2 linked regions of the Arabidopsis thaliana genome follow. The protein of the gene in region 1 interacts with the protein of each later gene in a pairwise test. Each region holds a gene or a part of one and is shown on either strand. Other genes may lie near its edges.

Region 1 (3,471 bases):
ATATCATATACATTCAATTTCATGCACATGTTCGTATGCACTATTGTTCGTAACCACTTAGCTATCTCAACCATCCATCATTTCACTATCTTAACCATCGAGCCCTCAGATATAATGCTTGGCATCTCTCCATCTCTTAGTCATCTTGACCCTCAAACTTATCTGATTCTCAAGATAGTGAGAGCTCAGGACTCATAATATAGGAGTTTTAGATTTTGCTCACCATATTGGGCCATTAAGCCCTGTTTCCTTTTTTAGTCCAATCAGATCCTATAATTCCAGTGTATACCAAGCTTCCTGATCTTTAAACACTTTTAGGCAAATATAATTTCTTGTCCTTTCTTACTTAGAACCATTCTTCACATGAGAACCATCATTTGTGTATATATATTAATAACTTTCAAAACCTTAATAATGATCACGACATAAAATCTTTATAATGAGAGCGGGTCATTACAGGTGAACTCCTTTGTCCGTCATATCAGCCGTCTTAGAAGCTCGTATGTGCCCAATACTCTCAGGACCAGCCCTGAGCTCGTATGCATTAATTACTGATCTGGTTTTAAAATTTGTATATATACGTACATAGCCATATGGGATACTTCAAATGTATGATTTTGTCTCGACAGCTTTTACAAGTTTAGTCGAAGTGACCAGACAACAGCTGCAATCCGAAAGCATGTTTCAATGAAGTCGTTCTAGTCCATGACTGAAAATTTGTTATACTGAATGTTGTCGATAACTTTCCTTTTGTTAACGAATGCTTGTCGATAAATTTATATATATCCAGTATTATGATCACATAATGATAAATTAGAGGAATTTCATATTTTTGAATTGGTCTTAGCTAATACGTACCACGTAGGATCAATTTTCTCCTAACCTACTTCTTTAATATATAGTGGGTAAAATCATAAATGGTTCATTCTGATTTCACGCTGAGAAAATGATATGCTCATTATATAAGTACCGATTTCTCTAAGACAACTTTCAATCTGTCAGGAAAAGAAATTGATACGTCCGTTTCTTACAGTTACTGCATTTATTATCACTGAGACGATAATTGAGTTCTGTAGATGCATAAATAGGAATTATCTGTAGGGCATGCATATGTAAAATTAGACACACACAAAAAAATCTAAAGAGAAAAAAGCACAAGAAAACAAAAGTTTTGTTGGATTTTGCTAGTATTATTTACGACCCACAAATCTATATCACAACACGAAATTAACGGTTTATGGACTTTTTTTGTCCAATTTTCACGAAGTCGAAAATTTCGGGGAAAAAATTTCACCTAATGTTATTGGAGAACTGTAAAATAAAATTATAGATTATGTACATCCACATTCCACAGCCATCTCCGTCCGTAAAAATTTCTAAAATATAAAAAGAAAAACTGTGATTTTAAATTAGAACTTGTAGGATTACGTGTTCATAATATTTATTGAGAAGTGTATTTGCATGTGATGTTTTTCACTCGATTTTAATACGTTACTAGGCAAAAAAATAAAACTAGCACGCCATTTTAGTGACTGTTAAAATGTTCTGTTATAGGTCAGAAACAAAATCTGATCAAAATTTATTGTGAGCATTATGAACTTTTTGGAATAGTAAAAAACAAATCGAACGTATCACGAAATTATGTTTTGACGTATTCGATCGGGATATATAAAAACAAAAATGTGAATTATAAATTTAGGAATATATACGTAGAAATTCCAATAAAAAATAAATCACCTATCTCTCTCTCTCTCTTTTTATATAACTATTTTTTTCCCTCACATCTTTTCTATATCTTGCATTCTCCAAACTCTACATTTTCAGTTTCTCTGTAAATTTATCTAATATTCTTCTATTTTCCAGTAGTTATGGATAATACCAACCGTCTTCGTCTTCGTCGCGGTCCCAGTCTTAGGCAAACTAAGTTCACTCGATCCCGATATGACTCTGAAGGTCTCTCTTCAATTCATTACTCTACACTCATCCTCCTAACTCGTCAGCGTTAAATTATCTTCTCATTTAATTTTTGTTTGGATAAAACGAAACAAAAATGCAGAAGTGAGTAGCATCGAATGGGAGTTTATCAGTATGACCGAACAAGAAGAAGATCTCATCTCTCGAATGTACAGACTTGTCGGTAATAGGTAACAAATTCTCTTCTTCTGTCATGTCCGATTCAACATATTTTAAAAACAACTAGTATTTTATAAAATTAAAAAAAAAAAAAAAAAAACTAGTATTTTATAATTTAAAAAAAATTCACATGGCGAGAGTAACAAATCAAAGCTGATAAAGTGTTATGTTATGGTAAACATGATTCTAGAGTAGTTTAGACTTTCGAACGTGTTTCGAGAAAAATGACATGCCAATATTTAAGCAATGACATGAGTATTTTACTTGTATAATTTCAAAAAAAGTTTTATGTTGTTGATAAACTGATAAAATGTATAATTAACAGAAACTAAAATTTCTTCTTTTCTTAAAGTGTGATGATTTTAAAAACAGTGAAAGGATTGAATAATATATTGGCTCTTGAATATTATTGTCTTTATATATATACATTTTAAATTTCATTTCTGCATTATATATGTTGACTCCTGAATTTTGATAAATGTTTTTTCAGAATTTTGTGCTCGTCTATAATTCAAAAACACATTATATGCTTGAATATTGATTGTCAGGTGGGATTTAATAGCAGGAAGAGTCGTAGGAAGAAAGGCAAATGAGATTGAGAGATACTGGATTATGAGAAACTCTGACTATTTTTCTCACAAACGACGACGTCTTAATAATTCTCCCTTTTTTTCTACTTCTCCTCTTAATCTCCAAGAAAATCTAAAATTGTAAAGAAATCAAAATAAAAGCTTTCAATCATAAAAGTAGAACAAATCTTGAATGTCTTCTCATCATATAAATGGTTCAGAAATTGTTGAATCTCTTCGCAAAACAAATTAGAATAAGATCACCTTTTCTAAATCCGTGCTCTTAATCTTCACTTAGTTTACAATCATGGTTGTCAAAGTTATATCAATTATCAATCGTTAAGTTGCAGCTTACAACACATTATAGCAAGTGTGCCATTTCAAAGATATTGAATGAAAGAACAATCACCAAAATGTTAAAGAAAGATATTTTTAGTGTATACAGTCGACAAGCAACCTTAGATATAAAGATTCTTACAGATGATTAACCATTCTCAGAATACAGATTTAACACTCATCGCTGGCTAAATCAGGCATCTTCAGTGGGAAACTGCTTCTCCACATCCGCGACTGTCTTCTTTGCATCTTCGATCTCTGGACCTTCCTTCTCATCCGTCTCTTCCAATTCCGCCTGCAAATTCAGTTTTCATTAGAGACAAAAGACAGAGTACGAATTCACAGTTTCCTCTGTGTCCTTATTCATCATTTTTCCTCAAAGAGAGACTAAGATGGTTTCATGCAGGGGATTAATCCAATCGCTATAGATACA
Region 2 (4,963 bases), 3.2 Mb from region 1:
AAATCTCCAAAAATTACACAAAAAAATCCAAATTAAAAACGTTATGGACCATCCATACATTGAGAGATTGGTCCTCCTCCACTCTTTATAATCAATTTCATTTTTTCTTGAAGAAAAACAAAAACAGGAATAAGTGAAAGGTAGGGTTAGAGAGAGAAGAGCAAAAAGTAGTTACAGGGACCCAAAAGTGGAGAAACAGAACCCAAAAAAAAAAAAAAAAAAACTAAAGTTGGAGACAGTTGTTTTGAAGAAGTGTTCTATGTCCAATCCACAAACAATGTTGCCTCTTGTCTGCAACTAGGAAACCTCTCGTCAAAATCTCTCAAGGATCACAAATTTTGTGACACTAACACTTGGTTTTAATTTTGTGGTTAGTGAAAAAAGTAAAAATTTGTATATTTTTCAGTTTTAGAACATTGTGTACATAGACTTCTTAAAACCAGGGATTTAGCTCAACGGCTATAAGAGGAACAATAAAATCAAGAATTTGATGATTGAGAACAAATAAGAGGAAAAACAAAGAACAAAGATTATGAAGAAAAAAACACACATCTCTCCTTTAGTTTCTTCTTGCTTTATATAGAAAGAAAACAGCAACAGAAACAACAATGCATCAAGTAAGAAAAACCAGAAACAGAGAAAAACAGAGTGTTTTTGTTTTCGCAATTGTCCTTAGTTTTTTTTTTTCAGTTTCACAGAGAAGGAGCAGTAGCAGAAGTATTCATCAGCGTGGTCGGGCCAAGCGGATCTTTTCCATCACCGTTCTTATTGTTGTTATCGCCAATGATGGTGCTGCTTGCCGAGCTGCTGTTAGAAAGAGAACCAAATGTCGACTTTTGCAAGACGCCTGTTGGAGAGGAACCAAACTTGGGACTATTGGTCGTGCTGTTTAGTACCTCGCCGAGTGGACCTCCCATGGAGTTGTTATTACCCCAGGAGATTGGTATCCAGTTATTCGTCTTTTTCCCGGGGTCAAGAAACTCGGTGTTGACGCCTAATCCCATGTGGATCGCGGGGTCAAACTCACGCGATAACCTTAAAGGTGAGAGTGCAAGTTTATCTTGAACAGGGGAAGATGGAGCCATAGGGATTGACATTGAGAGCTGAGTCCAATCCGATTTCAGCTCTTCGGGCCAAGAATCGACATTGTTGTGATTCCCCGCGTGCTTGGCTTGGTTGCCGAAGTCAAGATACGATCCAAAGCCTTTGGAAGAGGTTGCATACGAGGCTTGTTTATGCGACGGATTAAGTAACGAATCAGAAGAGATGAGTCCGAATTCAAAGGGATTATTGCTTTGTTTCGGATGAGTTTCCTTCGACTGTAAGTTCATCGTGGCAGGAAAAACCGAAGCCCCTCGAGAATTTTGAACTCTGCAATGCAACAAACAACCATTAAGATTTCTTGTTAATTTGTTACATCATTGAATCATCAAGAAAAGGAGAGTAAACAGTTCATTAAAGCAAAAAAATCCAAATATATGGAATCCTAAGCCTCATATTAATAAGGAGTGGTCACAATCATAAAAGATGTAGTAATAATGAATTGGTGGGTCTACTACTTACTCATAGGGCAAAGAAGTATTTAAAAGTTGAAAAAGGTATGAACATTAAAAACTTAAGAATATGCAGATAAGTTATATCAAAAAGGCAAGAGATGTTAAACGTTTTCACCTGTTAGCCAAAGAATCTGTAGATTGATTATTGGTATGATGTTGTGTTCCAACAGCAGCGGCAAGGCTATTGTTATTATCTGATCCACGCATCGCAACAGCTGAAGTCCCCGCTGCCGCTTTGGACACAGCAGCAGCGGTAGAAGCGGCAGCAGCAGAAGCAGCGGCGGCAGCATTAGTATTGTGGCCATTTTGGCCTTCCACAGGCTTTCTTGAACGATGGCGGCCTCTGTTAATATGTCGTTCACAGTACTTTTGATCGGGAACAGCGTCCCTCGAGCACCGCCATTTCTTTCCATCTGTCCGGCGACATCTCCCTGGCTCGGGATCCATGTTACCACCGGAAAAGCCCAGATGAAAAGAGCCCCATCCAACTTCATAATCACACAAAACAAAAAAATCTCTCAAGATCTCATAAAAACACCATTCCCCTAACAAAGCAAGAATCTTTAATAAACCCACCACCAATCCATACAAGATTCAATGTTCCAAAGGACTATACACTAAAAAAGATAGTATAAAGTTAATTCTTGGCTAATGTATTGGAGATAAAAGGAATCAAAACTATTGATCAATAATCTCAAATCTTTGAAAACAAAAGATAAGGAAGAGAACTTACAAGAATTAGGAGGCAAGGAACCATAAGGGAAAAAAGATTTCTTGAGAGAGAGAAGTAAACTAGATGGAACAGGGACATTGGCTGTGATATACTTATAGATCAACGCCTGTTGCTCTAGCTCTGCCCACTGAGTCAATGAAAAAGGTCCTTTTACTCCTGTCAACAAGTTTCCATGCATGTTGCTTGTGTTCATCATTCCTCCTAAACCATATCCTGACACCACAACAAAACCAATATTCCAAAATCAAGACTTCACTAAATCAAACTCTAATCAAAACCCATTTCTGTAATCTAACTCTAAGCAAAAGCCATATACTGATTTTCAAGAAAGTAAAAAAAAAAAGCAGAGTACTTTAGTTGTTTTTACAGTTCAGACCTGAGTTTCTACAGTACTGAAGATAAGGTGAGACATCTGATTTGCCTGAAGCAGAAGAGAAGCTAAGCATGTGTTCTTGTCCTTTACGAGGATCATTAATAGTGGTAGATCTCAGTAAAGGGATGCCTTGATGAAACGACAGCGTTTTAGCAGAGGCAGGGGAAGAAGAGAATCCATCAGTTGATGTTCGTGAGAGCTTTGAACTTCTCCAGCAATCTTCACCATCGAAACCGGATCTTTCTTGCTTGTTACTGAAACCAGATCCGAGTTCAGTTTGACCCGGAGAAGAAACGGTTTCATGACCAGAAACACGAACTCCAAGATCCATAAAAAATGGATTCAGAAGGAGACAAAGAAAAAGTAGTGCTAAATAATCACTTCAGAGATTTTTCCCATGGGAGGTAATCGCTTTGAGCTCAGTGAAGAAGAGAACCGAGAGAGAGAGAGAGACAGAGGGAGAAGAACGAGGCTAAGTTTTTTTATTTTATTTTATACTCTAGATATTATTTTTATTATTTTGGAGAAAGGATATTTATTATTTAATAATAACAAAAAGTAATAATTGTGGGAGTGAGAGATATGATATAGCTTTGGGTGGAGACAAAGAATGGTACCGAAAACACAATCAAGATCTCGGACATGTTACTACAAAGAAATGAAAACTATAATCAGATGCTCTACGTATGATTTTATTTTGATTTATGTATTATTTAAGATTTTAATAATTTTGTGGTTACTTTTGTGATATGAGAAAAATAATTATAGAGGAAGCAAACAATGAACTTTTTAAGATAAAAGACATGTGGACACCACGTGAGACATGTCTCTCTAGTTTCAACTTCAAACCCTAAGAAAGGAATTTTCATTTGCTTTTTGCTTTTTGCTCTAAAATTTGTTATGGTATGCATTTTTACCAAACGTTGCAAAGGGAAAGATGGGGTATACTTTAAGTGAGATTTTAGTATGAAAGAAGTTAGAGAATGAGATTGTCGTATTGAAATAATAAATATAGTATTGAGTTGAGTATCAAATATCTATCAGATTCACGTGGTTCCCAATTGTATTTGGACTGTCTAATGGTGTTCTCCAATGTACCCCAGCTGATTATAGTTACATGGGCCATTTATGTTTTTCAATCCTATCTCTTGGGTTTAAGTTTTATTACAACTTTTTTTTTTCAAATGGCCTTATCCCTTATGTAACATAAGTACATAAGTACATCATATTCATCGCTAGTGAAACTCATATCAATTAGGTTATGAATAATTTGTATTTGAAACCTTAAATCAGAAATTAGATAAGATTTTAATGGTTATATAAATTATATGAGTCAGTTCATTTTTTGCCAATAAGTTTTGAATCGGAAGTCTATAATCTAATATGATATTAGAATATGATTTATAATTCGTGTCTATCCCAATCGAAAATCGGTTCGATCCTAGCAAAAAAATTTTAGACAGCAGATTTTGCAAACAATTCTAGGGGCATTACTTTGAAAAATGTGCATCTTGAGTTTTGCATTCGTATCAAATGTTCAGAAATTCAAATTCACCTTACCTTTCTATTTTCCAAAAAGGTTAAAATGATTTTTTTTTTTTTAATTTGCTTTGAAATTAAGAAGTTGGGCTTTTCGATTCACATAAGCCTTTTCGTCGTAATCAAATATTAAAGGTGCCTAGAAGTCTAGGATGGGAGCTGGATCCAAACTATACTAAAACCATGCACGTGATAACCTGATACCCACCTCATATGAACCCAAACCATACTAGTTCTTTCTAAGACAAACAGAAGAAGAAAAAAAACACTTGCCTTTAAGCTAATAGCTAATGGTTTGGAATTAAACAATAGAAATATTTACTACGTTAAGTTGACAACGTAAAAACAAAAAATACTGTTAACTTATATTAGAATATTTTTTTATTAGTAATGGAATTTTTATTAACAGTTTAAAATATAATTATTACCCAAAACAAAAATGTTTTTATATTTTTGTTGATTTATAAAATATCTTATGATTTTTTTTTATCAAATATCTTATTAGTCATAAATATAAAATTTAATAGATATTAAAAGTTTACTAAAAGAAAAATAATTATTAGAGTCATATCAATATTTATAACAAAAATGAATATCTTTTGTTAACATAATCAATTTGTCAGTTAATTTTGTGGAACCCTGAACACAATAACCATTTAAAGGTTAAAAGTAGCAATATTGACAACTAAACGTTTTATTATAAGAATTCAAAACCTTAAAGGTATAAACTGCAAGTTTTTGCTCTATTAGATTATTTATGGG

The links. The genes of interacting proteins can lie anywhere in the genome.
Region 2: the proteins of ETC2 (region 1) and GRF1 interact in a two-hybrid assay, tested with the Arabidopsis thaliana proteins (one large-scale study listed by BioGRID).

What each region holds. Positions count from the first base shown.
Region 1 is NC_003071.7:12,960,313-12,963,783, reverse strand, and holds ETC2 (Homeodomain-like superfamily protein), read left to right. Parts: upstream 1-1,621; 5' UTR 1,622-1,868; coding exon 1,869-1,953; intron 1,954-2,056; coding exon 2,057-2,144; intron 2,145-2,681; coding exon 2,682-2,847; 3' UTR 2,848-2,937; downstream 2,938-3,471. Other genes in the region: KIS (tubulin folding cofactor A (KIESEL)), read right to left, coding at 3,232-3,333. UniProt on the Arabidopsis thaliana protein: MYB-type transcription factor involved in epidermal cell fate specification. Acts as a negative regulator of trichome development, by mediating lateral inhibition.
Region 2 is NC_003071.7:9,726,871-9,731,833, reverse strand, and holds GRF1 (growth-regulating factor 1), read right to left. Parts: upstream 3,355-4,963; 5' UTR 2,994-3,354; coding exon 2,666-2,993; intron 2,503-2,665; coding exon 2,290-2,502; intron 2,045-2,289; coding exon 1,672-2,044; intron 1,372-1,671; coding exon 693-1,371; 3' UTR 533-692; downstream 1-532. UniProt on the Arabidopsis thaliana protein: Transcription activator that plays a role in the regulation of cell expansion in leaf and cotyledons tissues.